Linked DNA regions of Ovis aries. The protein of the gene in region 1 interacts with the protein of each later gene in a biochemical or structural test. Links are inferred from orthologs where the notes say so. Each region holds a gene or a part of one and is shown in the gene's direction. Other genes may lie near its edges.

The links.
Region 2: the proteins of SP1 (region 1) and DDX5 form a complex in vitro, tested with the Homo sapiens proteins (2 studies listed by BioGRID). The link is inferred for Ovis aries from reciprocal best matches to the Homo sapiens genes SP1 and DDX5.
Region 3: the proteins of SP1 (region 1) and PSMC5 form a complex in vitro, tested with the Homo sapiens proteins (2 studies listed by BioGRID). The link is inferred for Ovis aries from reciprocal best matches to the Homo sapiens genes SP1 and PSMC5.
Region 4: of the proteins of SP1 (region 1) and MAPK1, one has a biochemical effect on the other in vitro, tested with the Homo sapiens proteins (2 studies listed by BioGRID). The link is inferred for Ovis aries from reciprocal best matches to the Homo sapiens genes SP1 and MAPK1.
Region 5: the proteins of SP1 (region 1) and E2F1 form a complex in vitro, tested with the Homo sapiens proteins (4 studies listed by BioGRID and IntAct). The link is inferred for Ovis aries from reciprocal best matches to the Homo sapiens genes SP1 and E2F1.
Region 6: the proteins of SP1 (region 1) and CCNA2 form a complex in vitro, tested with the Homo sapiens proteins (2 studies listed by BioGRID). The link is inferred for Ovis aries from reciprocal best matches to the Homo sapiens genes SP1 and CCNA2.
Region 7: the proteins of SP1 (region 1) and HIF1A form a complex in vitro, tested with the Homo sapiens proteins (2 studies listed by BioGRID). The link is inferred for Ovis aries from reciprocal best matches to the Homo sapiens genes SP1 and HIF1A.

The regions. Positions count from the first base shown.
Region 1 is NC_056056.1:133,122,313-133,125,812, reverse strand, and holds part of SP1 (transcription factor Sp1), read left to right. Parts: coding exon 1-166; intron 167-3,500. UniProt on the Homo sapiens protein: Transcription factor that can activate or repress transcription in response to physiological and pathological stimuli.
Region 2 is NC_056064.1:48,409,333-48,413,548, reverse strand, and holds the start of DDX5 (probable ATP-dependent RNA helicase DDX5), read left to right. Parts: upstream 1-1,416; 5' UTR 1,417-1,586; coding exon 1,587-1,630; intron 1,631-2,809; coding exon 2,810-2,975; intron 2,976-3,158; coding exon 3,159-3,255; intron 3,256-3,339; coding exon 3,340-3,473; intron 3,474-3,590; coding exon 3,591-3,656; intron 3,657-3,893; coding exon 3,894-4,035; intron 4,036-4,119; coding exon 4,120-4,216. Other genes in the region: CEP95 (centrosomal protein of 95 kDa), read right to left, coding at 531-549. UniProt on the Homo sapiens protein: Involved in the alternative regulation of pre-mRNA splicing; its RNA helicase activity is necessary for increasing tau exon 10 inclusion and occurs in a RBM4-dependent manner. Binds to the tau pre-mRNA in the stem-loop region downstream of exon 10.
Region 3 is NC_056064.1:47,802,286-47,806,429, forward strand, and holds the start of PSMC5 (26S proteasome regulatory subunit 8), read left to right. Parts: upstream 1-1,344; 5' UTR 1,345-1,374; coding exon 1,375-1,398; intron 1,399-1,939; coding exon 1,940-2,011; intron 2,012-3,495; coding exon 3,496-3,565; intron 3,566-3,773; coding exon 3,774-3,871; intron 3,872-4,035; coding exon 4,036-4,092; intron 4,093-4,144. Other genes in the region: pre-rRNA 2'-O-ribose RNA methyltransferase FTSJ3, read right to left, coding at 462-567, 744-810.
Region 4 is NC_056070.1:72,034,375-72,038,592, forward strand, and holds the start of MAPK1 (mitogen-activated protein kinase 1), read left to right. Parts: upstream 1-1,418; 5' UTR 1,419-1,433; coding exon 1,434-1,467; intron 1,468-4,218. UniProt on the Homo sapiens protein: Serine/threonine kinase which acts as an essential component of the MAP kinase signal transduction pathway. MAPK1/ERK2 and MAPK3/ERK1 are the 2 MAPKs which play an important role in the MAPK/ERK cascade.
Region 5 is NC_056066.1:63,133,772-63,137,217, reverse strand, and holds the end of E2F1 (transcription factor E2F1), read left to right. Parts: coding exon 1-150; intron 151-1,076; coding exon 1,077-1,191; intron 1,192-1,291; coding exon 1,292-1,517; intron 1,518-1,635; coding exon 1,636-1,883; 3' UTR 1,884-2,946; downstream 2,947-3,446. UniProt on the Homo sapiens protein: Transcription activator that binds DNA cooperatively with DP proteins through the E2 recognition site, 5'-TTTC[CG]CGC-3' found in the promoter region of a number of genes whose products are involved in cell cycle regulation or in DNA replication.
Region 6 is NC_056059.1:3,751,323-3,755,490, forward strand, and holds the start of CCNA2 (cyclin-A2), read left to right. Parts: upstream 1-1,368; 5' UTR 1,369-1,594; coding exon 1,595-1,801; intron 1,802-2,585; coding exon 2,586-2,829; intron 2,830-4,129; coding exon 4,130-4,168. UniProt on the Homo sapiens protein: Cyclin which controls both the G1/S and the G2/M transition phases of the cell cycle. Functions through the formation of specific serine/threonine protein kinase holoenzyme complexes with the cyclin-dependent protein kinases CDK1 or CDK2.
Region 7 is NC_056060.1:71,952,513-71,956,012, forward strand, and holds part of HIF1A (hypoxia-inducible factor 1-alpha), read left to right. Parts: intron 1-2,688; coding exon 2,689-2,797; intron 2,798-3,354; coding exon 3,355-3,481; exon of another isoform or gene 3,482-3,500.

The DNA.
Region 1 (3,500 bases):
CCTATTGCCTCAGCTGCCTCCATCCCTGCCGGCACAGTCACTGTGAATGCTGCTCAGCTCTCCTCCATGCCTGGCCTCCAGACCATTAACCTCAGTGCATTGGGTGCTTCAGGAATCCAGGTCCACCAGCTTCCAAGCCTGCCCTTGGCGATAGCAAATGCCTCAGGTAAGACTTGAAATCTTGTGCATTTATCTCTAGAGCTACTTAGCATCTCAGCTGAAACCACTGAGTCTAAAGAAGAGGGAGTAGAATCTTTTGAGGGCAGTGCTTCTGAGGGCAAGTCATTTAGAGAAATAGCAATGATTTTAAGTCATTTGGAGCTGACTTAATAAGAACTTTTTCCTCTTCAGTTAATCTGTCCAGAAAGGAGCATTTCTGGGCAGTGTCCTTGGGGTCTGTACTTTCAGTGCCTGGTACTACAGTACAAGAGTGGGCAAACTTTTTCTTTAAAGGGCCAGATAGTAAATATTTTAGGCCTTGTGGGCCACATAAGTTCTCAGTTATGTGTACTTTTTTGTTTCTGCAACCTTTTAAAAATATAAAATATTCTTACCTTGAGGGCTTTATTTGGCTTGAGGGTTCTTCTCTGCTGATAGGAATGGATTATAAACTTATCTGTAGGGTAGTTATTAAATCATCAGATATTTCTCACAAACTGTGAGAAAGCAGGGGAAAGCAGGGGAAAACTGATGGATTCCAAAGGACTTCAACAAACTAAGTTCCCTGGTTAATCTTTTAGTTAACCAGAAGAGCTACCCTTTGAGGTTTAATTTTTTCAACTCCTACTTAGCTTGAAAGTATTAATGTGTATTTTTAATAAGCTTCCTAGGTGATTTTCTTCTGTTTTGTTTCTTAAGCCTCCTAGGTAGTGATTCTAATACTTTCTAGATTAGAGAGCCACTTTCTAGACTGCTTTGAAACTAGTGTATGGTTGAAAGGTAGGAGAGAACAGAAGTGGGGCACAGAGTGGAGTGGGGAGATGGAATTGAGAGGAATTAGAAGTAAGAACTTTGAGGGGGAAAGAGAATTGTCAAGGAAGGGGATGTATATATTGGAATGTATGTTGAATCAGTTGACACTACTATTCAGTCATTTATTTTAAACTGTATTTTACTAGTATTGGTTAATTTGAAATTTAAAACCTCTATTTAAAACGGTGAGAATTTATTTAGAGTTTATCATTTTAAATTTCATGGTGATAGAACTAATCTTTAATGAAGCACGTTAGGATACATATGCATCTTTATATTCTGGCATGATATATAGAAATTATGATGAGAAGTTTAATACCACTGAACTTCTACTTCTGTTGGTGTATCTGTGGATTTGTTAATTGTTTACTTTTATTATAGAGTTCTCATTCTGTTTAGATTGGTTCTTATGTAAGAGAGGGTAACAAATAGGCAACCATATTTCCTGCTTCCTGCAGCTTAGGAAAATCTGTGGTGGGGAGTTCTGCTCAAGTTCACTGCTTTCTTACAGTCTTGTATGTTTAAAATTACTACATTTTGAGCCTTAACAGACAGAAATTTTGTTAGTGAATTGGAATTTTTAAAATAGAAGGTTAGAGCTGAAAGAGACCTTAGGAATCATCTCATACTCCTGCCTTATTTTCCCGATAAGGACTTTGAGATACTGGAAGCACGTATGTTATGAGACTACTCACTGTTAGTTCTAGTCTGGCGCATCCATTACCTATTAATTTTAACTTGGGACAAGAGATGTCATGTTTCAACTTGGGACATGCTTTAAATTGTTAAAAATCTTTTGGAAAATATATCTTTTGTTAGTTTGGAATTTAAGGCTAGAGAGCTGGCAAGTGTTTATAGACTAAAAATTATGTGAGTAGAAATAGGAAGAGTTTATAAAAACTGAACCTAACAGCTTTGAAAATTAGACACTTTCTGGGCAACCTACGTTTGTGTGTTTGTTTTCTCTTTGGTCTCAAGTTATTGAGATTGTTGCAGATAGTATTAATTTGGATCCTTGCAGTGTGTAAACGGTTGATAACTTGAGCTCCAAGGAACAGTTATGAGACACTTTCATTGCTAAATCATGGTCTGGGGAAGTCTGCCATTTACTTTGTCATAGGATAGGGCTACCTTCCTAGCTGTTATTGATGGTCTCTGAGCTCTAGAAAACGCATGCCTTTCTATAAGATAGTAGCAGCTTGACATTCACTAAGAAGAGAATGAAGCTCTGAAAGGCCATTTTGTGAGAGTTGAGATTGCTTTGTTAATAGTGGTTTTGAAGATATGTGTTTCCTCCTTTCTGGTTAGTCATAGTTGTGCAACATGTTTTCCCCTTCAATTGATCTGACTTCAGCCTTAATGAAAGATAATGCAGTCATTTCCTGGAAGCTTAGTGCTCTTTAGCTGTTGCCTGGCTGCTACAAAGTCTCTCATTTTACCCCTTTTTCTGGTATATAGTTATTTTATTAGAAAAATTCAGCCTCTTGGCAGTATGATGTAGTGGAAAGAGCGATTAATATGAGCTCATGTTGTAAGATAGGTAAGTAGATAGCATTCTGCAAAGGGAGCCATTATTTTTAAATGGTTGTGGAAGACTGCAGCTTCTGTGTCACTTAATAGATTTAGTCTTTTTTTTTTTGGCCCTACCGCATGGCTTCTTGTAGGATCCTAGTTCCCTAAATAGGGATTGAACCCTTACACCCCCACCTCCCACCTCTAGCAGTGAAATTGAAGAGTCCCAGCCACTGGACGGCCAGGGAATTTCCACATTTATTATTTTTAAAAGTCATCTTTTAAAACTTTTCTAAGTTCTCTTGTTGACTTTTATTATATTTATTTGTTAGTTTGAATATACAGGCAAAGGCACAAACTTAGACCCCAAATCAGCCACCCATCTCTGTATTCCTGTTTTTCACAGTTCTGCCACTGGTGGGTGATAGTGAAGTAGGGACCACCCGTGGAATGATCTATTGGCTCTTAGTTTTTGTTGTTATTTTTTAAGTGAGCAGCTTTTCCTTTTTTAAAAAATTAACACCCTGTCCCCTTTATCCTTGTATCAACACTCTTTTCCTCTCATTTGGTAGTTATACGCTCTGATCTCGGTTCTAGGTTTTTTGTGTTTTTTTTTTTTTTAAGCTTCAAGCTTCAGACTTTTTTCTCAGCCCTGGCTAAGTTCAAAAAACTCTTCCCCAAGGTTGAGGAGGGGCCAGTTTTGAAAGACTTAGTTTGGATGACTTCGTGGGAGTTCTGCCTAACAAAGAGTGCGGGACTGGGCTTTGGCAAGAGAATAAAACATATTTCCTTGATAGCTATAATTGACTCATGAAGCAAATTTCAGACACTAAAAATAAAAATTTCACATCTGCTTAGTTTTATTGGGGTCAGGAAAATGTCTCCTCTTAGAAGTTAAGTTGAATGCGATACCAGAGTTGGTCTGCCAACAGTGTCGCTAAACTTGGGGTCAGATTGCTGAGACCTATTTTGTTAACAGAGTTGTATTTTAGACTAGTTCATTTGAACATAAGTGT
Region 2 (4,216 bases), on another chromosome or scaffold:
GACAACCGGTTTGAACGCTGTCTTGGAAAAAAAGATGAAAGCGTCCTAGACAACCCAATCAACTCTCTTTTCAAAAACTGCGCTACAGAAAGCCGGTAACCGTAGGAAGCTCTGAAGCGGGAAAATCCACCACTATTCCGCTTTGGGATGACAATAGATTTTTAGAGTGCTAATACTCAGCCTCAGGCTCCGCAGTGCAGGAGCAGAGGGCACACTCCCTAGAAAATACTAGTCTAGGGAAAGACACTTTCTGATCATTTACAGCCACCATGCTCGCGTGCTGCGGGCCTCGCCGCAGGGCCCTTGTCTCCCCGCCCCAAATCAGGCTCGACAACTTCGAATGCGCCAGGGAGCGGGACTAAGAAGCCCCAGCCAGAGAACCCGCCAACTACGACCGGGTTGTCTCACGAGCCCCGCCGGCAGCCCACACCCACCCGAAGCCTCAAGATAAGATGGGGAGGGGCGTTCAGGACTTGGACTGAAAAGGTACTTGAGCCCACACACAAACGGGGCTCCACGCAGAGACTCACCAGCCTCTGAGCCGGCCATGTCGCGGAGGCAAGTCGCCGCCGGACTCCTAGCCGGGCGCGCGCGGGACGGCGTCCTGAAAGGGCCGCACGGCGCAGACCCAGGGCTGACAGGAGAGGAAGCAAACGAAAGTGCCGGGAAGGGGTGCGGTGAAGGAGGGAGGGACGTTAAAACGGCTTCTCGCTGCTGATTGGTCACCGCGGGAGTACTTCCTTTGGCGGCACGTGCCGAGGTGGCGGTTTGCGAACTCTAGATACCATTTTTCACCAGCCAGACCCCGCTCAGGGGTCCTGGGGTGGGTGGGTTTGACAGTTCGGGTCGCCCAACAGCCCCGGCCGATTTCCCGAGGGCATTAGCACGGCACTTCCGGTGAGCTATTTCGTCTTGTACTCCTCCGCCGACGCCAACTGGGGAAGTAGTGCGTCCCGCTCACTCGGCGGGCGGGGCAGCCACGTGACAATGTCAGGCTCCGCCTTCCTGTCGCCCCTAGTAATGGGTGTAAAGGCTCTTTGGAGACGTAAACATCTTCAAGGGGACCGAGGGAGTTGACCTGGGCTGGACATTTTATTGTCTGGGCTAGACCTGGAAAAGGGCGCAGTGGTTTCCCTGAAGTGTGAAAGACCAGAAAAAGGTGAAGTCAAGAGAGTGCAGGCTTAGGCATCCCAGTGGAGGACCGCGGGGTGGGGGCGGGTCCTATCCTTGAAAGGGGCGAAAAGTCGGCAAAGGGCCCGGGGGGAGGGGCGAGAAAATGGCGGATCCCGGAACGCCGGCAGGCGTTAATAGCTCTGCGCAGGGGCGGAGTGATTAGGTCATAGAGCGGCTCCCAGCATTCTCTGCGGCGGAGGAGGCGGGCCAGGCTATAAAACCGGCTGCCGGGACGCGGCCGGCACCTCATTCATTTCCACCGGTCTCTTGTTGGGCAGCCTTGGCTTCTGTCATCGTCGTCCCTCCGCCGCTGCCGCCCCCGCAAGGCTTTGCCGTCGCCGGAGCCACCTCCAGCGACTCGTCGCACCCGATTCTCTCCGCTTCGCTTCCCGCCAACCGCAACCATTGACGCCATGTCGGGTTATTCGAGTGACCGAGACCGTGGCCGGGATCGAGGGTGAGTGTGGGAACCGACCTGTCAGGCCCGGCGGGTGGGGGATGGGAGACCGATGAGGGTTGCGGGGGTGGGGTGGCGGGGGCAACTCGGCTTCTAAAGACTATTCTCGGGCCTCCGCCATCGAAAAGGGCTTGCGCCATTTTGTTATTTGTCCAAACCTGGACTTTTCATGTTAACGGTCCTCAAGATTCTTTTTTGTTTTGGAGGGGGTATCGGGGCCTTGATGATTTGGCAACTGTTCGGAGAATTTCGAGCACATTTTTTGAGGGGAGGAAAGCGCAGCGCTTTGAGGCGAAGTCGCCACTATTAGGTGTAAGCTTACAGGAATTTTAAGGAATCTGGGGGTTCTGTGGGTGCCGAGGGGGCCGCCTCCGAAGCCGTTAATGCGGCGAGGGTTGGAGGGTGGCCGGTGCCGCGGGAATCGGCCATGTGGCCGAGCCGTGGGTACAAAATGCCGGCGGCGGACATGGCGGCGGCGCCTTTGTTACCCCGCCCGGCGGAGGAGCTCAAAATGGCAGCGTCGAGAAAATGTGGCGCAGAGAGAAATGCGAGACAAAGGGGGAAGCGCCGCCCCAGCGGGAACGCCGCCCGAAGGACTCCGCCCGGGCCGGGACTCCTCCCCCGGTAGTCTCCGGCTCCTCCTCCTCGTTTTCCTTTCGTTATATAATTTTGCTACCTTGGTAGGAAACCGTTTTGAGGGATCCCCCCAACTCGATTGGCTTGCCTAACTGTCCCCGAGCCACCCGCCGTGTTCTGCACTCACTTACCTGTGTTGTTCCGCTACCTATTAAAATCAGAGCTCTTGGTTCAGGACAGGTGCTAAGTAACATCTGTGTTAAGCTTCTGCTTTATTTTTTTTTGGCATTTAATTCTTTCGCTTGTGTGAAAGAGTAGTATCCACCAGCTGTTGTTTGTCCTTGTATCTGAACTCCTAGAGCTTGGCCAGCCAGTTTCCAACCTAGTAAATCCCGGGCTGTTGATTTGTTTTCAATGGTGTGTACTTCGTGTAACGGGAAATGAGGGAGATGTAGTACTAACTGGCTTTTGAAAGAATGACCATCACTGAGGACAGCACTTGCATCTCCAGAATCTTTCATTGAGTTTTAGCATGTGCGCAGGGATGGTAAAATAAGTCTGTACATGTTTGAAAATGCAATTTTTTTTCCCCTCAAATTTTAGGTTTGGTGCTCCTCGATTTGGAGGTAGTAGGGCAGGGCCCTTATCTGGAAAGAAGTTTGGAAACCCTGGAGAGAAACTGGTTAAAAAGAAGTGGAATCTTGATGAGCTGCCCAAGTTTGAGAAGAATTTTTATCAAGAACACCCCGATTTGGCTAGGCGTACAGCAGTGAGTAATTTCATGTGGTTTTTTCAGCTTGTAACTCAGTGACATTTAAGTTTGACTAGAAATGTCTTGCAAACTTAAAGGAATGTTAATGTTGATAATTATTAACTTAGGGGTGTGTTGGTCGTGTGTTTAGTTAGGGGGAGTCCTCGTGAGATAACTGAATTTTATAAATTTCTTTTGTAGCAAGAGGTGGAGACATACAGAAGAAGCAAGGAAATTACAGTTAGAGGTCATAACTGCCCAAAGCCAGTCCTGAATTTTTATGAGGCAAACTTCCCTGGTAAGTGCTAGTTTTCCCCACCTTAAAAAAAAAAATCCCTTTCTCATGGCATTATTGACGTTTACTTAATTCTTAACATTACAGCAAATGTCATGGATGTGATTGCAAGGCAGAACTTCACTGAACCCACAGCTATTCAAGCTCAGGGATGGCCGGTTGCTCTGAGTGGATTGGATATGGTTGGGGTAGCACAAACTGGATCTGGGAAGACTTTGTCTGTAAGTTTGGGAAACTTTGAGTTAGGTGACAGGTCCTGAAGAAAAATGGGTTGGGAATTAAAAGAAACCAGAAGTGTTTTTAATATGGCTTTTTTTGTTTGCTTTTCTTTTGTATAGTATTTGCTGCCTGCCATTGTCCACATCAATCATCAACCATTCCTAGAGAGAGGTGATGGGCCTATTGTAAGTGTACATTGTATTCTCTTAACTTGGTTAACAGCGTAGAGATTTGTAGAATATACAGCAAAAGAAAATTCTGGTGGTTTTATATGGAAGGTTATGTTTTTCAGTGTAGGAAGGGACAAAGCTGCTTTGGGTATTGACAATGTATATCATCTGCTAGTGTAGCAACAGTAAATTAGCACTTCAAAACTAGAATTCAGGGGTCTCCTAAAGGTGTTCCACTTTCTCTTTCCTTAGTGCTTGGTGCTGGCACCTACTCGGGAACTGGCCCAACAGGTGCAGCAAGTAGCTGCTGAATACTGTAGAGCATGTCGCTTGAAGTCTACTTGCATTTATGGTGGTGCTCCCAAGGGACCACAAATACGTGATTTGGAGAGAGGTATGTAACCAAAAAGGTTTTATTTGTCACTGATCATGCAGGAAGTTCTGGATGTCATGGTAACTTTTGTGTGTTTAATTAAAGGTGTGGAAATCTGTATTGCAACACCTGGAAGACTGATAGACTTTTTAGAATGTGGGAAAACCAATCTAAGAAGAACCACCTACCTTGTCCTTGATGA
Region 3 (4,144 bases), on another chromosome or scaffold:
CTGCAGCAGGGGCCCCAGTAAAGCTTTGCCTGAATTTCCTGTCTGGCCCCTAATCAATTTCTATTGATTGGGGAAGGCAAAGAACCCTGGTCTGGGAAAGAATGAAGGCAGGAGAAGGGGACGACAGAAGATGAGATAGTTGGATGGCATCACCAACTCGATGGACATGAGTCTGAGCAAGCTCCATGAGTCGGTGATGGACAGGGGGGCCAGGTGTGCAGAAGTCAAAGAGTCGGACACAACTGAGCAACTGAATGGAGCTGAAGAACCCTGGCCAGTACCAGCCAAACGTATGTACACGTTCTAAATCTTCCCTCCTGAAGCTTACAGTTCTGGGGAGTACAGAAATTTGAGGCTGGTATTACTGTATCCCTCCCGCCCCTCAACGTCAATTCTCAGTCATCCAAGGCTGGAACCCAGAAAGTTTCCATAAGGAGCGTCAGGTGCCAGGTGTTACCCACCATCCACCCGGTGCAGCGCACAGGTCCAGCAATGCTCGGGCTTTTTGCAGAAATTGAAAGCGGCGATTCAGCTGGATCAGCTTGAAAGCAGAGCGGGAGCGGTAACCTGGAGGCGGCGACAAAATTCTGTAACAAGGTCCGCGAAGCGCTTTCCCAGCGCGATTTCTACGGCCTCCCGACCCACTACCCCTTCTGCGGAAAAGAAACTCAATATTCGGAAAGCGGGGCGAACCGACCGAGGTCGGTGGCTCGCCTGCTCTGACAGCACGAACCCTGACTCACCGGTCTCCTTCGCCAAGTGATAGAACTTGTCCCGCCGGCTCTTCCCGACTTTGCTCTTTTTGCCCATGGTGTAACGTGGGGGCACCACTCAAGCGGGAGAGAAAGCAGAAGTTGGAACGTCTCTTCCCGGAGCACTAGATTCCGCCTTCCGTTTCCCACTCGCTGTCGCGGAGACACTCGGAGTCTTACTCGACACCACTCACCTGCAACCAGCACCGTTTTCTCCACCTTGGAGAGGCACATGTGGGCAGCAAACGTACTTCCGTTTCCGCTTGCGTCGCTCGCGTCCCGGCTCCAAGTTTTCCGCCATTTAGAGCGTGGCCACAAATATTTTCCCTGTAATCCTTCCCCAGGTTTTATAAGTTGGAAGCTGGCATGCCGCCAAAACCGAATTTCTAGAGAGTAACTTTAGGAGTTCTGTGCCTTTTACACCAAAGATCCTGACCTAGGGTAACTCCGTCCCTCCCCTCATGTCCCTTGTTATTTGTTACCGTCCGTCCTCACACCCCGCCCACTGACCCGGAACTGTTCTCTGCCCGAGTCTTTGGTACCCCCCCACCCCGCAAGCGCCGGCTTTGCGCCTGCGCGCCAAAGCGGCTCTGATGCCGGCGGTCTCCGCGGAAGAGGGAAGATGGCGCTTGACGGACCAGAGCAGGTATGGCGGCGGCGGCCGGGCGGGGACCGGGGCTGGATGAGAAGCAGGTGCGATCCGAGGTGGGCAGCCGGCCGGGGCCAGCGGGTCGGGGGCGTCCGGGGTGGGTGGGCCAGTCTAGACTGGGCCCTGCCTGGGACCGGATCTGCTGTGTCAGCGCCGCCCGCGGCGGGTCACGGCAGGGCCGGGAGTGGAAGACCGGGTGGAAGCCGATTGAGTGAGGAGCGGTGAGAACAGCGGGAGCGGTGAGAACCGCGGGAGCGGGAACCCACTCTTGGCGGGATTCGGGAGCCCCGTGCTGGCTGCTCCTGTACAAATAACATCTCGGGATTGTGTAGCGTTCCCTGATGCGCTGTTTCTTGATCCTCCTGAAAGTCTTAAGAGGCAGGCGGCATTCTCATTCTGTTTTAGTCTTAAGGAAATGGTTGTGAAGAGATGGAGTGAGGGACGAGAACACAAATCTTGAATCTCCGAAGTCAACGTGGAAATAGTTTTATCCTTTGGATGTTTAGCCTTTTGGTTAATAATTACACTGTGTCCTCAGATGGAGCTGGAAGAGGGGAAGACAGGCAGTGGACTCCGCCAATATTATCTGTCCAAGATTGAAGAACTCCAGGTGAGAACGGACTTCAGAGGTCCAGAGGGAACTAGAAGGGGGATGAGCAGATCTCTACAAATCCATGTAATTCCACTGCCATGCAGTGGAAAAATTAGTATTGATGACAAGTTAATAGTATAAAATATATGAAATTAACTGTCTCATGTTCCCCTGAAACCCCATCTTTTTGAAGATAATTAATATTCACAATTTCTTACACATCTTCAAGAGTCAAATTTTAACATAAAAGTACCCCCCAGCCAAAAGTCGTTCCTTTTAGAAACCCAAATGAAACAGTTTCTTGTGAAGAGAAGACACAGGGTCAGGAAATGACATTTATCAGAGAAGGGTTGGGGCAGAGTGAGAGAAGAATTCAGGAGTCTGGAAAATGCTGATTCCACCGGACTGAATGAAATGAAACTGAACAGCCCAGTGCTCTAGCCTAGAGAAGCAGCAAGGACCACAGAAATAAGGAAAATAACGTAAACTGGATGGAGGCGCGCCACAAGGGAAAATTCTGAACTTCAGGTACATTTGTGGGTATCCTATTTGGTTTGTCATTTTTGAAATGCTTTACCTGTATGACAAAGGTCTATATAGTCAAAGCTGTAGTTTCTCCAGTAGTCATGTACAGATGTGAGAGTTGAGCCATAAAGAAAGCTGAGCACTGAAGAACTGATGCTTTCGAATTGTGGTGCTGGGGAAAACTCTTGAGAGTGCTTTGGACTGCACGGAGGTCAATCCTAAAGGAGATCAACCCTGAATATTCATTGGAAGGACTGATGCTGAAGCTCTAATACTTTGTTGACCCAACATGAAGAGTCAACTCATTGGAAAAGACCCTGATGTTGGGAAGGACTGAGGGCAAGAGGAGAAGGAGGCGACAGAGGGTGAGATGGTTGGATAGCATCACTGACTCAGTAGACATGAATTTGAGCAAACTCCAAGAGATAGTGAAGGACAGGAAAGTCTGGTGTGCTACAGTCCATGGGATCACAAAGAGTCAGACACAAGTTAGCAACTAAACAACATGTGCTTTCATTTGTTCCTTATGTTAATCCTGAAAAGAGCCAGGATAGGGGTGCTATACCCACTTTCGGTTTTATAACAGATCTAGACCTTTCTCATGGTTTTCATTGGCTTTACTCAGCTGATGATTGCCAGCAATGGGGCTGGAACTTAGGATTCTGACTCAGAAATCTTCTTCAATACCCAAGTTCCCACTCTGAGAAACTATGTTAATCAGCTGTTACCTTGTCTCCATTAGGGTTCCTAGACCAGTTTTAGACAGACAGCTCCCCCCACCCCGCCCCCGTGGTGGTCCTTTGCTCCAGAGGCGCTCTTGGAGGACAGGGTCAAGGTTAAAGTCATATTGGAGAATCTGAATGGGGAATGCAGGTGCCCTGTGCTTTCCTCACTCAGCTCATATCAGCCTATGAGGGTCTTGGCCAAGATTTTAACCTCCTCCTGTTTTCTACCCTTTGCTTCTTGTTCTCCAATAGCTGATTGTGAATGATAAGAGCCAGAATCTTCGGAGGCTACAGGCACAGAGGAATGAGCTTAATGCAAAAGGTGAGGAGGGAAAGATGGGAGGGCTGCATGGAGGCAACTGGTGTGAGCTCTGAGTGTTCCGTGTCCTTGAAGCGAGTCTTCACCTAAGTGCCCATTGCTTCATTCTCTCTTGAGTTTCATTGTAATCTCCTTAAACACATGAATTCTAGACTTTGAGTCCTTCCCTTCAAAACTTCTGATTGATCATGGTGTCTTGCTTTCCATTTAGTTCGCCTGCTGCGGGAGGAGCTACAGCTGCTGCAGGAACAGGGCTCCTACGTGGGGGAAGTAGTCCGGGCCATGGATAAGAAAAAAGTGCTCGTCAAGGTAAAGGCAGCAGGACCCGGCACCAGCCACCTGCCTCTGCTTTCCCGTACCGTTGTGCGCGGTGAGGACATTGTTCTCACCTTAGTGTAAGATTCATGGGTCTTCTGGGTGAGGTTAGTGATTTGGTAACTGTCAGGGACGGTCATGCGCCCTTGCTTCTGTAGGTACATCCGGAGGGCAAGTTTGTGGTCGACGTGGACAAGAACATCGACATCAATGATGTGAGTGCAGCCCGGGAGTTGGGAGGTGGGGGTCAGCTCTCACCACACCACT
Region 4 (4,218 bases), on another chromosome or scaffold:
CGGTTTAAAAAAAATCCTCTTTCTCAATTTTTCCCTTTTGCCGTTTGTTTGTTACCATAGCAACAACAATTACTTCAGCTCATCAGCCTCAGTCTCTACTGAGTGGTGTTTTTATTCAGTTATCTCTCCATCTTTAGCTGGTTTCGAGGCTCACTGCCAGTTCTTTTCTCTCATTTCATCATTCATGAGTTTCTGATTCATGTCCCAGTGATTTATTGTATGATTCTGAGCAATTTTTGCAGAAAAGGGAGTTAGTTGGGTCGTGTATTAGTCACAGACTCTTGTGGTTGCAAGTGACAAAACCCTACCTCAAATTGACTTCAGTTAAAAAGGAGAATAGATATTGTCTCACGCACTTGTGAAGTCCAGCCTTGGCTGAATCGTTAGACCGTGTCGTCAGGAAATTGGCTCCGTCCCTGGACCCTGCTTCCCCGTCCCAGCTTTACCCTAGAGGGTGGTTCTCAGGCTGTGGCGTGTTTGGCCCCAGTCCCATACCCCCTGCCCTGGCAACCTTGGCGGAAGGGAAGTGCCCCTTTCTAGTTGCTTCTGCAGAAGGCTGGGCTGAGTGCCATTGGCTTGGATCAGGTCTCACGCTCATCTTTTGAACCAACATCTGTGACTCTGACTGGAGATCCCTGGGTCACAAGCTTATTCCTGACTTGGGGGGTGGGGCCAAATGCTCTAAGTGTGTAGAAGGGAGAGTTCACCCCCCACAGAAAGAAAACTGGATTGTTGCTACCAGAAGGAGAAGGGGTCAATGTAGGCAGAAAACAACAGATGCCCATGTCTTCCAAGACCACAGATCTGCGCACTGTCGCCTCTAGAGGGACACTCAGGAAGACATCCAGCAAGCCCTCTAAGCAGGGGCTTAGGTCTTGGGCTTCCCTGCTGGCTCAGCTGGTAAAGAATCCGCCTGCAATGTGGGAGACCTGGGTTTGATCCCTGGGTTGGGAAGATCTCCGGAAGAAGGGAACAGCTATCCACTCAAGTATTCTGGCCTGCAGAAGTCCGTGGACTGTATGTATAGTCCATGGGGTCGCAAAGAGTCTGACGCGACTGAGCAACTTTCACTTAGGCTTGGATAGCGGCTTCCGTGGGCTCCTGGCTCTCCAGAGCCATGTTCTCAGGTTCTCAGCTCCCTGCTTCTGGAAATTTGTCGTTGTCAGTCTAGCTAGATGATTCTCCCCACCGGGCCTGGCTCGCGCCAGCCTGACTCGGCAGAGGCTGATGTGTATCTAAACCCCATCTCGGAGGGAACAGCAATTGCCAAAGGACCTGAGCAGGGCTGTCTCCTGGTCAGTGCACTTTCCCTGTCGAAGACCACAAGGGAAGCCAGACTCTCATCACAGGGTTGCTTAGCGACCACAGAACCAGGCAAGAGAAGTTCTCCGGAGAAAGTCAGTGACTTTAAAACGCCCACAGATGCTAGAAGAATGAGGAGACGACACGTTACCCGCAGAGAGACAGGTATGTGGCGAGGTTGGAGGGCAGAAAAGAGCTGAGAGCTGTCTGGTCTGTCTGGAGCACGGGGAGCGGGCAAAATCAGGGTGGAGGGCAGGCGCTGTCATACATCACTTACATCTCAGCTAAAAAGAAAATAAAACAGTGCTTTCCCAAAGTGTCAGATGCATATGAAACCACTAGGGATCTTGTTAAAATGCAGATCCTGAGTCAGTAGATCTGGGGTGGGGCCCAGGATATTGTGTTCCGAACAGACCCCCACCTGATGCTGGTCTGAAGGCCACACTTTGAGTAGCAGTGATTTCCAAAATACTGAAAAAACAGAATGTATAGGAGTTTGCAATGGGTCAGATGCAGGGAGGGGTTGGGAGTAAGGTAAGATGCATTGTGAGGAGCATCCCCAGACCTCAGCTGCAGGACCTGGGTGGTGGTAGGACCCAGAAGCCTGAGATGAGGGACAGGTCTGGGTGGGGTCGATAGTGATCAGAGATGACATATACCGAGCGGTCGAGTGGGCCTTGGAAAGCATCGCTAGAACAGAGCTAGTGGAGGTGATGGAATTCCAGTGGAGCTGTTTCAGATCCTGAAAGATGATGCTGTGAAAGTGCTGCACTCAATATGCCAGCAAATCTGAAAAACTCAGCAGTGGCCACAGGACTGGAAATGGTCAGTTTTCATTCCAATCCCAAAGAAAGGCAATGCCCAAGAATGCTCAAAGTATGGGACAATTACACTCATCTCACATGCTAGTAAAGTAATGCTCAAAATTCTCCAAGCCAGGCTTCAGCAATACGTGAACCGTGAACTTTCTGATGTTCAAGCTGGTTTTAGAAAAGGCAGAGGAACCAGAGATCAAATTGCCAACATCCCCTGGATGATCGAAAAAGCAAGAGCTTTCCAGAAAAACATCTATTTCTGCTTTATTGACTATGCCAAAGCCTTTGACTGTGTGGATCACAACAAACTGTGGGAAATTCTGAAAGAGATGGGAATACCAGACCACCTGACCTGCCTCTTGAGAAATCTGTATGCAGGTCAGGAAGCAACAGTTAGAACTGGACATGCAACAAACTGGTTCCAAATAGGAAAAGGAGTACGTCAAGGCTGTATATTGTCACCCTGCTTATTTAACTTATATGCAGAGTACATCATGAGAAACGCTGGGCTGGAAGAAGCACAAGCTGGAATCGAGATTGCCGGGAGAAATATCAATAACCTCAGATATGCAGATGACACCACCCTTATGGCAGAAAGTGAAGAGGAACTAAAAAGCCTCTTGAAGAAAGTGAAAGAGGAGAGTGAAAAAGTTGGCTTAAAGCTCAACATTCAGAAAACGAAGATCATGGCATCTGGTCCCATCACTTCATGGGAAATAGGTGGGGAAACAGTAGAAACAGTGTCAGACTTTATTTTGGGGGGCTCCAAAATCACTGCAGATGGTGACTGCAGCCATGAAATTAAAAGATGCTTACTCCTTGGAAGAAAAGTTATGACCAACCTAGATAGTATCTTCAAAAGCAGAGACATTACTTTGCTGACTAAGGTCCGTCTAGTCAAGGCTATGGTTTTTCCTGTGGTCATGTATGGATGTGAGCGTTGGACTGTGAAGAAAGCTGAGCGCCGAAGAATTGATGCTTTTGAACTGTGGTGTTGGAGAAGACTCTTGAGAGTCCCTTGGACAGCAAGGAGATCCAACCAGTCCATTCTGAAGGAGATCAACCCTGGGATTTCTTTGGCAGGAATGATGCTAAAGCTGAAGCTCCAGTACTTTGGCCACCTCATGTGAAGAGTTGACTCATTGGAAAAGACTCTGAAGCTGGGAGGGATTGGGGGCAGGAGGAGAAGGGGACGACCGAGGATGAGATGGCTGGAGGGCATCACGGACTCGATGGACGTGAGTCTGAGTGAGCTCCGGGAGTTGGTGATGGACAGGGAGGCCTGGCATGCTGCGATTCATGGGGTCGCAGAGTTGGACTCGCCTGAGCGACTGAGCTGAGCTGAGCTGAACTGATTAGGTGCCAGGAGCTTTGCATCTGTTGTCTTATTCTGTGCAATAGGGAGGTAAGTGCTGTTGTGATCTCTGTTTTAAGAGTGGGGAAACTGAGGCCAAAGTCATACAGGTAGTAAGCAGAAAAGCCAAGGTTCAAGCTCTACCTTGCGGTCTGAGTGCAGGGCTCCTGCGGGTAACCGTCGACAGTTTGGAAAACGTGGAGCCGAAGCCCCTGTAGGTTGTCTAATGGATAACCTACCCTCTCAGACTCCTGCCAACTTGTTCCCATTTTTATTTGGCATTTTATTATTACAGAGGAGACATCGGCAGAAAACCAGCTTTCAGCTTTTTAGTTTTCGGCTGTGCTTTGAAACATACAGGATCTTCGTTTCCCAGCCAGGGATCAAATCTGCGTCCCCTGCATTAGATGGTGCTCTTAACCACTGGACCACTAGGGAAGGCCCAGCTTTCAGCTTTTCAAATAGTCCTTTTTTTTTCTCTCTCTCTCTTAAATGATCAAATACTGTGTTTTTCTATCTCTGAGAATTCAGGACTTTTCCAGACTATTATTTTTTTAATTCATTAATTAACTTTTGGTTGTGCTGGGTCTTCCTGCTGTGTGAGTTTTCTCTAGGTGCTGAGAGTGGGGGTTACTCTTCCTTGCCATGTGCAGGCTTCTCATTGCAGAGGCTTCTCTTGTTGCAGAGCAGGCTCTACGGGCTTCAGCAGTTGCTGTGAATAGGCTCAGCTGCTCCACAGCGTGTGGG
Region 5 (3,446 bases), on another chromosome or scaffold:
CAACCATGCAACGGTGGGGATCGGTGGGCGGCTTGAAGGATTGACCCAGGACCTCCAGCAACTGCAGGAGAGCGAGCAGCAGCTGGATCACCTGCTCCACATCTGCAGCACCCAGCTGCGTCTGCTCTCCGAGGATGCGGACAGCCAGCGATATCCTTGAACTGCCTGGAGGGTCACCAGGGCCCCATCTAAGTGGGAGTGGAGGGCCTTACCTTGGGCCCTGGATTCAGGAAAGAGTTCTGGCTTTGGATACCGGTCCTGGCTCAGCATTCACTCCCAGTGTGACACTGGACAAGTTACTTAACCTCTCTGAGTCTCAGCTTCCTCTGGAAAAGGGGAAAAACAATCCTACTTCAAAGCTTTTCGGATTAAAACCAGAAAAGCTAATATCAGTAATAACTGGTTTATTTAACACAGGGATAACATTTATTTAATACAGGGATTTAATACCTGGTTGTAGCTTCAAGGTTAGAGTTGCTTTTATTTGCAAAAATATAAACTTTATTTTGAAAGAAGTTATGTTTATACATTTTGGAGATAACGGCTCAGACGGTAAAGAATCTGCCTGCAGTGTGGGAGACCCGGGTTTGATCCCTGGGTCAGGAGGATTCCCTGGAAAAGAGAATGGCAACCCATTCCAGTATTCTTGCCTGGAGAATTCCATGGACAGAGGAGCCTGGTGGACTATAGTCCATGAGGTCATAGAGTCAGACATGACTGAGAATTTAACACTTACACACACACACACACACACACACACACACACACTAATTGACATCAAGGTCATGGGTCAGAATAAATTCTTAGGACTATGCCTGGATTTAAGTAATTTTTATGAAATGATTATAGGCAGCTGTCATTACCTTGAGCTTCAATAGGTAGAGTGATCTCATTGTATAGATGTAGAAGCAGGCTCAAGGGCATGAGATCTGCTTGACCCCCAACCATGTGCCAGGCCTTGGAGTGGGTGATGCAGAGGACAGGAGTGACTAGGCAGCGATGGGCTCTGCCTTCTGAGCTGTCTGGGTGGGTGGCCCCCAAAGGCCAAAGATCATGTGGTCCTTGACTCCACCAACCCTGGCCTATGTGACCTGCCAGGACCTTCGTAGCATTGCAGACCCTGCAGAGCAGATGGTCATGGTGATCAAGGCCCCCCCTGAGACCCAGCTCCAAGCCGTGGACTCCTCGGAGGTGAGACCTGGGAGTCTAGACGGGACTAGGATGGACTGGACTGGGCTGGGCTGGTAGTCCAGCTGAGCCTCAGTTTACCCTGCCTGCTACCTCCATCCAGAACTTTCAGATCTCCCTTAAGAGCAAACAAGGCCCCATCGACGTTTTCCTGTGCCCTGAGGAGAGTGTGGGCGGAACCAGCCCTGGAAAGACCCCGTCCCAGGGGGCAGCTTCGGGGGAGGAGGAGAGGGCAGCTGACCTTGCCACCGCGGTGCCACCACCACCGTCGTCACCTCCCTCATCCCCTGCCACGGATCCCAGTCAGTCCCTGCTCAGCCTGGAGCAAGGTTGGTGAAGGCCGGGTGGGCAGGGTGGGCCCGGCCCCTCCCCGAGGTGGGTGGGCAGGTGTGTCAGCCCCTCCCTGCCGGGGGTGTCCCCGGCTGTGATGCTCCTGCATCTCCCCAGAGCCTCTGCTTTCCCGGATGGGTGGCCTGCGGGCCCCCGTGGACGAGGACCGCCTGTCCCCACTCGTGGCGGCCGACTCACTCCTGGAGCACGTGAAGGAGGACTTCTCCGGCCTCCTCCCCGAGGAGTTCATCAGCCTGTCGCCCCCCCACGAGGCCCTCGACTACCACTTTGGCCTCGAGGAGGGTGAGGGCATCAGAGACCTCTTCGACTGTGACTTTGGGGACCTCACTCCCCTGGATTTCTGACGGGGCTCAGGGGGACCAGGGCCTCCTGAGATGCCCACCCCGTCTCTGCAGCCCTGGAGCCCCCCGCCCCTGGCCGTCCTAGCCTAATTGGAAACATTTAATTTATGCCCCTCTCTCCTACCTCCAGAGGCTTCTAGCTCTGGAGCCTGGCTCCTGCCAGGAGGCTGAGCAAGCCAGGAAGGGAAGAATTCTGTTTGTGGTGTTTGTGCATGCACCCAAGCCCCGACGTGTGTGTCCACGGGGTGAGTGGTGTGTGAGCATGTGTGTGTGCATGTCCCGGGGAATGAAGGTGAACACATCTGTGCGTGCACTGAAAACACGCCCCAGTGTGTCCACGTGTGTGTGCATGAGTCCATGTGTGCGCGTGGTGGGGGCTCTAACTGCACTTTTGGTCTTCTTGCTCCAGGGGCCCCATGAGGCCCAGGGTGGCCACCTGCCCCCAGAATCCTGTGTGCTGACCAGGCCAGGTGGCGAGGCCTTGGCCTGCTTGTTGGCAGGACAGCGAGAGCACTTCTATCGTCTTAAAGGTTTTTCTGATTGAAGCTTTAATGGAGCGTTATTTATTTATCAAGGCCTTTTTGGCAAGCTTGGGGCATCAGCAAAGGGTAGGAGGGATGTGGGACTGGTGCCGCAACTCCCTTACTCCCTGAGTGAGGGCAGGGGTCCTTGAGCTGTTCTTTGCCCCACTCCGAAGGAGCTGAGGCCTGAGTGGTTTATTTATTCGGAAAGCGAGGGAGGGAGACACAGACTGACTGACTGACAGCCATGGGTGGATTGAGGGGGTGGTCCCTCCCGACGGGGTCCCTGCAGGGCCCCAGCTGCCCCCAGGATGGATGTGAGATGGGAGAGGTGAGTGGGGGACCTTCACTGACAGGGTGGGCGGGAGGGGTGGGGTGAAGGGCCTCCCCCCCCCAGCCCAGACCACAGGGGCCCTTCCTGTGGCGTTTGAAGTGCCCCCTCCACCCTACTTCTTGCTCTGCCCCACCCTCCAATCTGCACTTTGATTTGCCTTCCTAACAGCTCTGTTCCCTCTGCTTTGGTTTTAATAAATATATTGATGGTGTTTGGGCCCTGTTTGGGGACTCTGTACTGGGAGCAGGTCTGTGGGTGGGAGAGGTCAAGGTTGCTGGTGTGATGACCATTCCCTACTTTACGTTTCCCTGTCCCTGCCTGGCTTCATTTTATTTGAGCCTCACAGCCCCAAGAATAATCGTTTTCATCACCTTTTTTTAATCCTAATTAAAAAACTGGTTGAGTAAAGTAAGCAATGAATTCCTTTTTCCAGCCACAGAGAGGCCACCCTGATCAGTTGGCTATGCTCCGTCCAGATGTTTCTGGACATTTGTAAACAGGCAGCAGATAATTACAACCAGCTGATTCTGTGTCAGGTTCTGGGGACGTGTTCCTCCCTTTGTGGAGCTCTCAGAATCTGCTGGAGGAAACTCTCAAATAAACGAGAAAATCAGGGAGAGCTTCCTGGAAAAGGTGGTGCCTGACCTAAGGCTGTGGGATAGTAGAAATTAACTGAGAAGGAAGAGGAATACACCAACCAGGAGAAGGCAA
Region 6 (4,168 bases), on another chromosome or scaffold:
TTTGTTAAATACTTGGGTTGGCTCATTGCTTTAAACTGTGGCCAGGGAAATCAGACCTTGCACAGATTGGGGGGATTTTAACTTGATGTGCTGTAACCAGTAGGGCCATACAAATGTACTACATATGAATAGTACAGAAATAGTGATGGCTTCTTAGATTTTCCTGCACTAATAAATACTAATTTTCCTTTTTTATCATATATGGAGGGAAATATAACTGTCAATCTTAATTCATATTTATTCATATTCAGGTGAATATTATACTTAAGATTGTGCTTTTTAAAGTGGCATAAGGATTATAATAGAAAATAAACTATTCTCTGTGTTTTCAAGAAGGGCACACTTATTAATTTGTTGGGAAACAACAATGCTCAATTATATACCATTATATTTATTAGTTATGTGCAAGCCTTGTTATATATTAAATGTGAAAATTTGCTAAAGGCACGTATTTCTATCAGTTTTATTTTAATAAGGTCATATTTTTTTTTTTTACTATATTTAAACAACCTTCATTTCTAAATGGAACACAATTATATCTAGGTCACTGGAATTTCACTCCGTGCTTTTTGTTGGCTGCCATACAGCCAAGGTTAATGGCTGACTAGTTGAATTTCTTGTATATTAGTTTGTTACGTATATCAACAGTAATTCAAGGTGGCAGTTTAATTGCATCTTCATGAAGAAAAATAAAAAGTATAAGACTGTGAATAAGCACGAAAATGGTAAGATGACACTATAGTCATCCACTTGAGTATCAATTACATAAGCAGCGTATGAAATGATTTATGCACGTTATTTAATACTAATGATAACTTATAACGTGTAGATATAATCACCCCAGTTAACAGATAGGAAAACTGAGAATCAGAACATTGAGTAACTTGAACAAGACCACCAGGCCAGTATGGCCGGATCCGATTTTAGACCTTGAGAAACTTCAGTCAAGCTAACTGGAGGTCCTGTGGCTAAAGGCCGGGTGGTGATGGTGTGGTCTTTAAGTGATGTTTGACTCTGTGACCCCATGGACTAACCCGTCAGACTCTATGTACGGCCCACTAATAATCGCTAAAGTGTAACTCACTTTGTACTAGCGGCCGCCCCTAGCCTAAGACAGGAACTGCTTAGCGGCGGTATTTAAAGCCACCATAAGCCTAGGCCCCGCCTCCCCGCCCGGCGCAGGCGTCCTTCCTTCTGCCGCCGTTCTCTGTTTCTTCGTCCCGCTCCGCCCCTGCTCGGGTGCCTTCGCAGCCGCCTTCATTCGCCTGCGACCGCGTCGCCCCGAGTGACGTCACAGGGACCGGCACCTTTCATTGGTCCATTTCAATAGTCGCGGGATACTTGAACTGCGGGAACAGCCGCAGCTCCGGCGGGCTGCTCGCTTCATTTCGGGGGCGTCCTTGTCCCTCCACGCCCGGCAGTTCTTGCCTCCGCCTTTCTCAGTCTCCTCGGTCCTGCACGGTTCCGAGCAGACGGGCAGGCTGGCTCGGGCTGCGGCGGGCGGGTACGGCTGGAGTGTTCCTCGGCTGGTGTGCGGGACTCAGTGCACGCTGCTTGGCGCCGGGCTGATCCCGCCGCGCCCCCGGGAGCAGAGATGTTGGGCAGCTCCGCGCACGGGCCTGCGGCCCGCGAGGCGGGTTCGGCGCTAACATTGCAGCAGTCGGCGTTCCAGGAGGACCAGGAGAACGTCAACCCCGAGAAGTCGGCGCCCGCCCAGCAGCCCCGGACCCGGGCTGGGCTGGCGGTACTGAGGGCCGGGAACTCGCGGGGTCCAGCGCCCCAGAGGCCTAAGACGCGACGGGTAAAGCAATGAACGATATCCTCAGGAGGGAGGGCCGAGCGGGGGTTTTGCACGGGTTTAGCCGGCAGAGGAGAGTGGCGAGAAAGCATTCCCTGGGCTTTTCGCGGGAGGCTAGGATCTGGAGTTCCTTGATCCCTGGGTTTCTAGAGTGTAGGACGCCACATTACTCCCATTAGTTACTCTTCCATACTGTTCCTGACAGCGCTGTGCTTTCATGCTGCCTCTCAGCTTTCCATTGGGAGTATTTTTCCATAGATAATGGGATCAAACCAGGCCCCACAACGTTGAGTATGGTCTTTGCCCGCCTCCACGCCTTTCTGCTCTAAAACCCAGGCACTATTCCGACCTTCGTCTTCCCCATATGGATGGGTAAAGAAACTACCTTTACTTTGGGCGAAGGTATGAAAAGTGCTTTGCTATTGGTCAATTCCGCCATCTTACTGAATTTGCTCTGTTGCTCCACCCTAGGGTGAAAAAGGAAAACCACTTGTTTTTTGCCATCTCTGTTAAATTTGGCATCTTTCGGCCTGCCACTCCAGCCATCTCTGGCCTAGTTTTGCATAATTCCATTTGGTGTGACCGAAATCTTTGGTGTCACAGGAATGCCTATGACAAATTGAAGCATCTCTTCTTTCTCCAGCTACTCAAATTTCCTTGCCTGAACTTTGCCCCCAAAAGTTTTAATTTTCCTGATAAGAGGGTTTGGGACTATACTCAGCAGTATAAGGGGATGAAAGTAAAATTCCACTTAATAGGCTCAAAGCATTTAATTATTTCATTGTAGGTTGCACCTCTTAAGGATCTTCCTGTAAATGATGAGCATGTCACTGTTCCTCCCTGGAAAGCAAACAGTAAACAGCCTGCATTTACCATTCATGTGGATGAAGCAGAAAAAGAGATTCAAAAGAGGCCAACTGAATCTAAAAAATCAGAAAGTGAAGATGTCTTGGGTTTTCATTCAGCTGTTACTTTACCAGGACCAAGAAAGCCACTGGCACCTCTTGATTACCCAATGGATGGTAGTTTTGGTAAGTTTTAAAGAAAACTTGAATAAAAGTAATTGTTAAATAGGTCGGATTAATATTTTCCTTCTAAGACATTTTACTTGAGCCTTACTACATTATGAGTTAGGCATAACAAGTTTAGAAAGGGTGTGACTTATCTCAGGCCTCACAGCTAATCTGTGACCTGGTGACCTCCAAAAAGATTCTAATCCCGTGCTCCTTCTGGTACACTGCTGCTGCTGCTAAGTCGCTTCAGTCATGTCCGACTGTGCGACCCCATAGGCGGCAGCCCACCATGCTCCTCTGTCCCTGGGATTCTCCAGGCAAGAACACTGGAGTTGGGTTGGTACACTGCTAATCACATCAATTTCATTAGATCCCAAAGACTTAATTGACCCTCAAAATATTTGCTTAGTTGGGAGAATATATTTCAGTTAAGACTAACTTTGTTCACACCATTTCAGAGAACGCCATCTGAGGATGTAGCTTTAAATATTGAGATAGCCGACATCCCGTCCAGCTCTAAAATTTGTTTCTGTAAAACCCGTCTGAGTGATTGTCTGATATCAGAAAGACAGTTGTCTTCCTGTGAGTCAGAGTAACTGCTATGGACAGCTCTGTCTACAGTTTGTGCTACTTTACCATCAGACTGTGGGTTCACTGGACAGCTCACTGAATTCAATATCAGTTTTAGTTGTATAAACGAGGGGTATAGCAGAGAAGTGCTTTGGAAATAACAGTAATTTGTGTATTATTTAAAATTCACAGCAAATTTTAACCTCAAAGTAAACTTTGAGCTGAAATAATAATGGATGACATTCATTGCCTCCAAAGATGAATTTTACCAATCACCCATTGATTGTACCGTTAATATGTTTCAACTGCCCATGACAAATCTGATTTCCTCTTTAGCACACTTGTTAGTCCTGCTTCTAATTGTTGCCTGGATTATGCTTTGCAAATGTTAGACTTTGGGGTCTGCAAACTCTTATGACAAATCCTAGATATTATCTCAGAGTTTGGATTTTAACCTTGTTCTAACAGAACCACTGTCTTCCTATCATGCAAGATGAATGATGGTTTAACTTAATAACCTGCTCCTCAAATTCATTTTCCCATTAATGGTCTAACGATATTTTAATTAAGATCATTCCAAAACTAAGTAGACAGAGGTACTAAGATGAGAGTTAAATCTCTTATGTATTTTGTCATAAAAAGCTCTTTTAGTTGGATGAAATAAGCTCATTGGTAGTATGGGACTCCTTACAAGGACCATCATTTTTAGCTCTTAAGTGAACTTAACTGTATTTTTGAATTGTCCCAGAGTCTCCACATACTATGGAAATGTCAGTTGTACTGGAAG
Region 7 (3,500 bases), on another chromosome or scaffold:
TTCTTAAGGAAATGTGTATGATGGTAAATTATTTTTAAACATAGCAAACTTTTTCATGTTTATACTTTAAGGAACATAAAATTGACACACGAATTCTGAACTTAAAACAAGCACTCAAACTGTTTCTAAATTAGCTTGTGTATTACTTTATAGTCATATCACTTATCTAAATGTAGGAGTAGGAGAGTCTTCTAATACCTCTAAAAATAAAATCCAGCCAGTAAGTTCTGTAAATGTACAAAAACTGGCCCAGTTTCTTGTAATTGCTTAAATCAGACTAGCTAACTATCCTCTCTGAGCTCTTTTTAAGCTCACCTGAAGAAAAGCCGTCCCAACTTAAGTGTGTGTGTGTGTTGCCCAGTTGTGTCCAACTCTTTCCAACCCCATGGACTGGAGCCCACCAGGCTCCTCTGTCCCTGGAATTTTCCAGACAAGAATACTAGAGTGGATAGCCATTTCCTTCTCTAGGGGATCTCCCAACCAGGGACCAAACCCGGCTCTTCTGCACTGCAGGCAGATTCTTTACCATCTGAGCCACCAGGGAAGCCATTCCAACTTAAGGGTATTAATAATTCTCCATTCCAAATTGAACTTATGGTCTTCAGTCCTCAGCATTCAATACAGATACTTAATAAGCATTTAAAAATTTTGGATGTATAGTTACAGCTATATTTATACACATATATATATAGTAGATAGATAACTATGTAGTTATATGTAACCATATTATAACTATTGTGTTTTGTTTTTCCTTTTTATTTATAGAACGCTAGCTGTATCACAGATTAAATAGGTTGGTTTTTGGAGGGTGGTTTGTACTAGGCCTTGGTTGCAGCATGTGGGACCTAGAGATCAAACCCATAAAGTTGGAAATGGATATATTGATAAATACATCCATTGGGTGTGCCGAGTCTTAATTCTTAGACCACCAGGGAATTCCCTAAGTATTAAAATAGGTTTTTAAGAGGTACAGTAGGAATCTAAGCATGTTTTATGACATTGCTTTTGAAGAGTTAACTTGAGCAAACATATGGACACCACCAAAATTTTAAGTTATAATTTTGGTGTATGATTTGCAATAGGATTTGATGTATTTTAAACGTGAGGCTATAGTCAGAGAAAACGAGTCAGTGGGGTGGTGTGTGGGGGACAGAAACGATTCCTTCTCCACAGTGCCTAGACTGAGATATTAATAGCAATAGGAAAAAGCACTGCCATAGCCAGAGCTTATGGCTTTTTCTCCTGCCCTGCATCACTACTTTGACCTAGAATGCTAGTAGAGACCTTTTCCCGGAACTTGGAAAAGATCTTGCAACTTTAACAAAGAAGTATTCTACATTACTTTTCTACTGTATCACCAACCAACTTTGGAGCTCCTCTGGGCAATGATAGTGTTACTAATATTTAACTCAGTACCTAACATGTACTTGCTTTATAAATGGTTATTGGATGAAGAAAAGAATGAACTTAGCAACAGAATTAGCAATAATCTGTAATTTATAGTTACAGAGATGAGATTTTTCAGTTTTCTAAATAAGTATGTACTTGTCAAAACCAAAGTCCAACAAACATCTAGTCAAATTAATGATTTTTTTTTACATTAGTTCCAATACAGTATGCACTAAACACTTTAAGAAATGAATTTACCTTTCAGAACTAGATGGAGGCTTTTTCTTTACTACCTCTCTTGGTAATTTGAAAAAATCAAAGTGCTGTATTAAACCAGACAACTTGAAGTTTTAAAGATTGAAAATAAACTATTAAAAGTACTACTACTAAGGTGATATTTATGTGATAAGACTGAGTTATCCTTAATAAAGATAACATGTACATAAAAATTAAAATATGCCTGTCTATATATTGAAGGTTTTATAGAATTTTTTAAAAATACAAAACAAGACTACATGTAGGAGAGCAGTTAGAGTAGTACCTCACTTACCATACGCCATTCTCAACTAGATGAACAGAGCAAGGATCTATTATCATTATGTTGGGGTTCAGGGTAGGGAGCTGGTTCTTGAAAAGACAAAACATATAACAAAATCGATGTACTTGACACATAAAACAGTTCTTTACTGTTTACTGTTAATTTTAGATACAGATAGTTCAAGTTTGATAATCAGATCAATACTGAGGGCAAAACAGCTTAGTGGGAAGATCACTGGGAAGGAGAGTGGGTATTAGGAGACCTACAGTGTACTTCCATATTTGCAGCTAATTAGGAACAGAGCAAGTTACCTAACAGGCCTCAATTTTTTCATTTATAAAATATGTATTATATACGTGTATTATCTTGGGGACTAGAGCAAAGGTAAAATGAACTAATGAAGATGCAATGTTTTATAAACAGTGAAAGCATTATTCAAATGTGAAACTTATATTACAGTAGTCCCAAGAATATGTATGTATTAGATGGAATGAAAGGCCAATATTTAACTCTTTAACATCAATTTAGTTCTGTTCACTTATGTTTTATAAATAGGGTAATGAATAGTTCAGGAAATTTTGTTTTAAAAAATAAGCTTTGACTTTTAGGGCAATAAACTTTAGTATAATCAGGAAAACTCTTATGTATAACATATCCCTTAATGTTGGAAAATAGGCATTATATATTTTGTTTAAAAAGCTAATGGGATATTTTTAAAATAAATAAAACAACCATATTTTTTATTAAAAAATTGTTTGCAGAACTACTGCTCCTGAGGAAGAACTAAATCCAAAGATACTAGCTTTGCAGAATGCTCAGAGAAAGCGAAAAATTGAACATGATGGTTCACTTTTTCAAGCAGTAGGAATTGTAAGTGTGACAGCATGTTTGCTTTTCTATTCTAGCTGATGTGCTATTTTTGAGTTAGATATATAGGTAACTCCTTGTATCTTCCAAATACTAATGTTACATTCTCAGAAGTTACACGTTGGTTTCTTTCACTTTGTACATGTTCTTTTTTAAAAGTACAAACATTTAATGAGTACAGTCTCAAAAAATTCCAAACACTAGAGATGTACTTAGAGTAAGTATAGTTCTCCCCTCATTCCACACCCAGTATCATTACCAAGTCTCTTTCTCTTCCCTTTTGGTTACTTTCCCTTCTTACCCACAGAACACAGTCAGTGCTAGTATAACCCATACTGATATTTTCAGACCAGATTAACTGGAAAGCATTTTTATGTAGTTGTCATATGAGTGGCAAATGAATTCATCACAGCAGTATTAAAAAATAGAATTTAAATAACTGAGAGCAGTCTTTAAGAATCTTGCCTATGTATTGTTAGCAAATTTATACTGATTTCAAAGTCCGTGATTTAAAAAAAAAATTCAACATAGTAAAATTGAAATAATTTTACTGTTTTCAGGGAACATTATTACAGCAACCAGATGATCGTGCAACTACCACATCACTTTCTTGGAAACGTGTAAAAGGATGCAAATCTAGTGAACAGAATGGAATGGAGCAAAAGACAATTATTTTAATACCCTCTGGTTAGTTTACTCTTTCTTC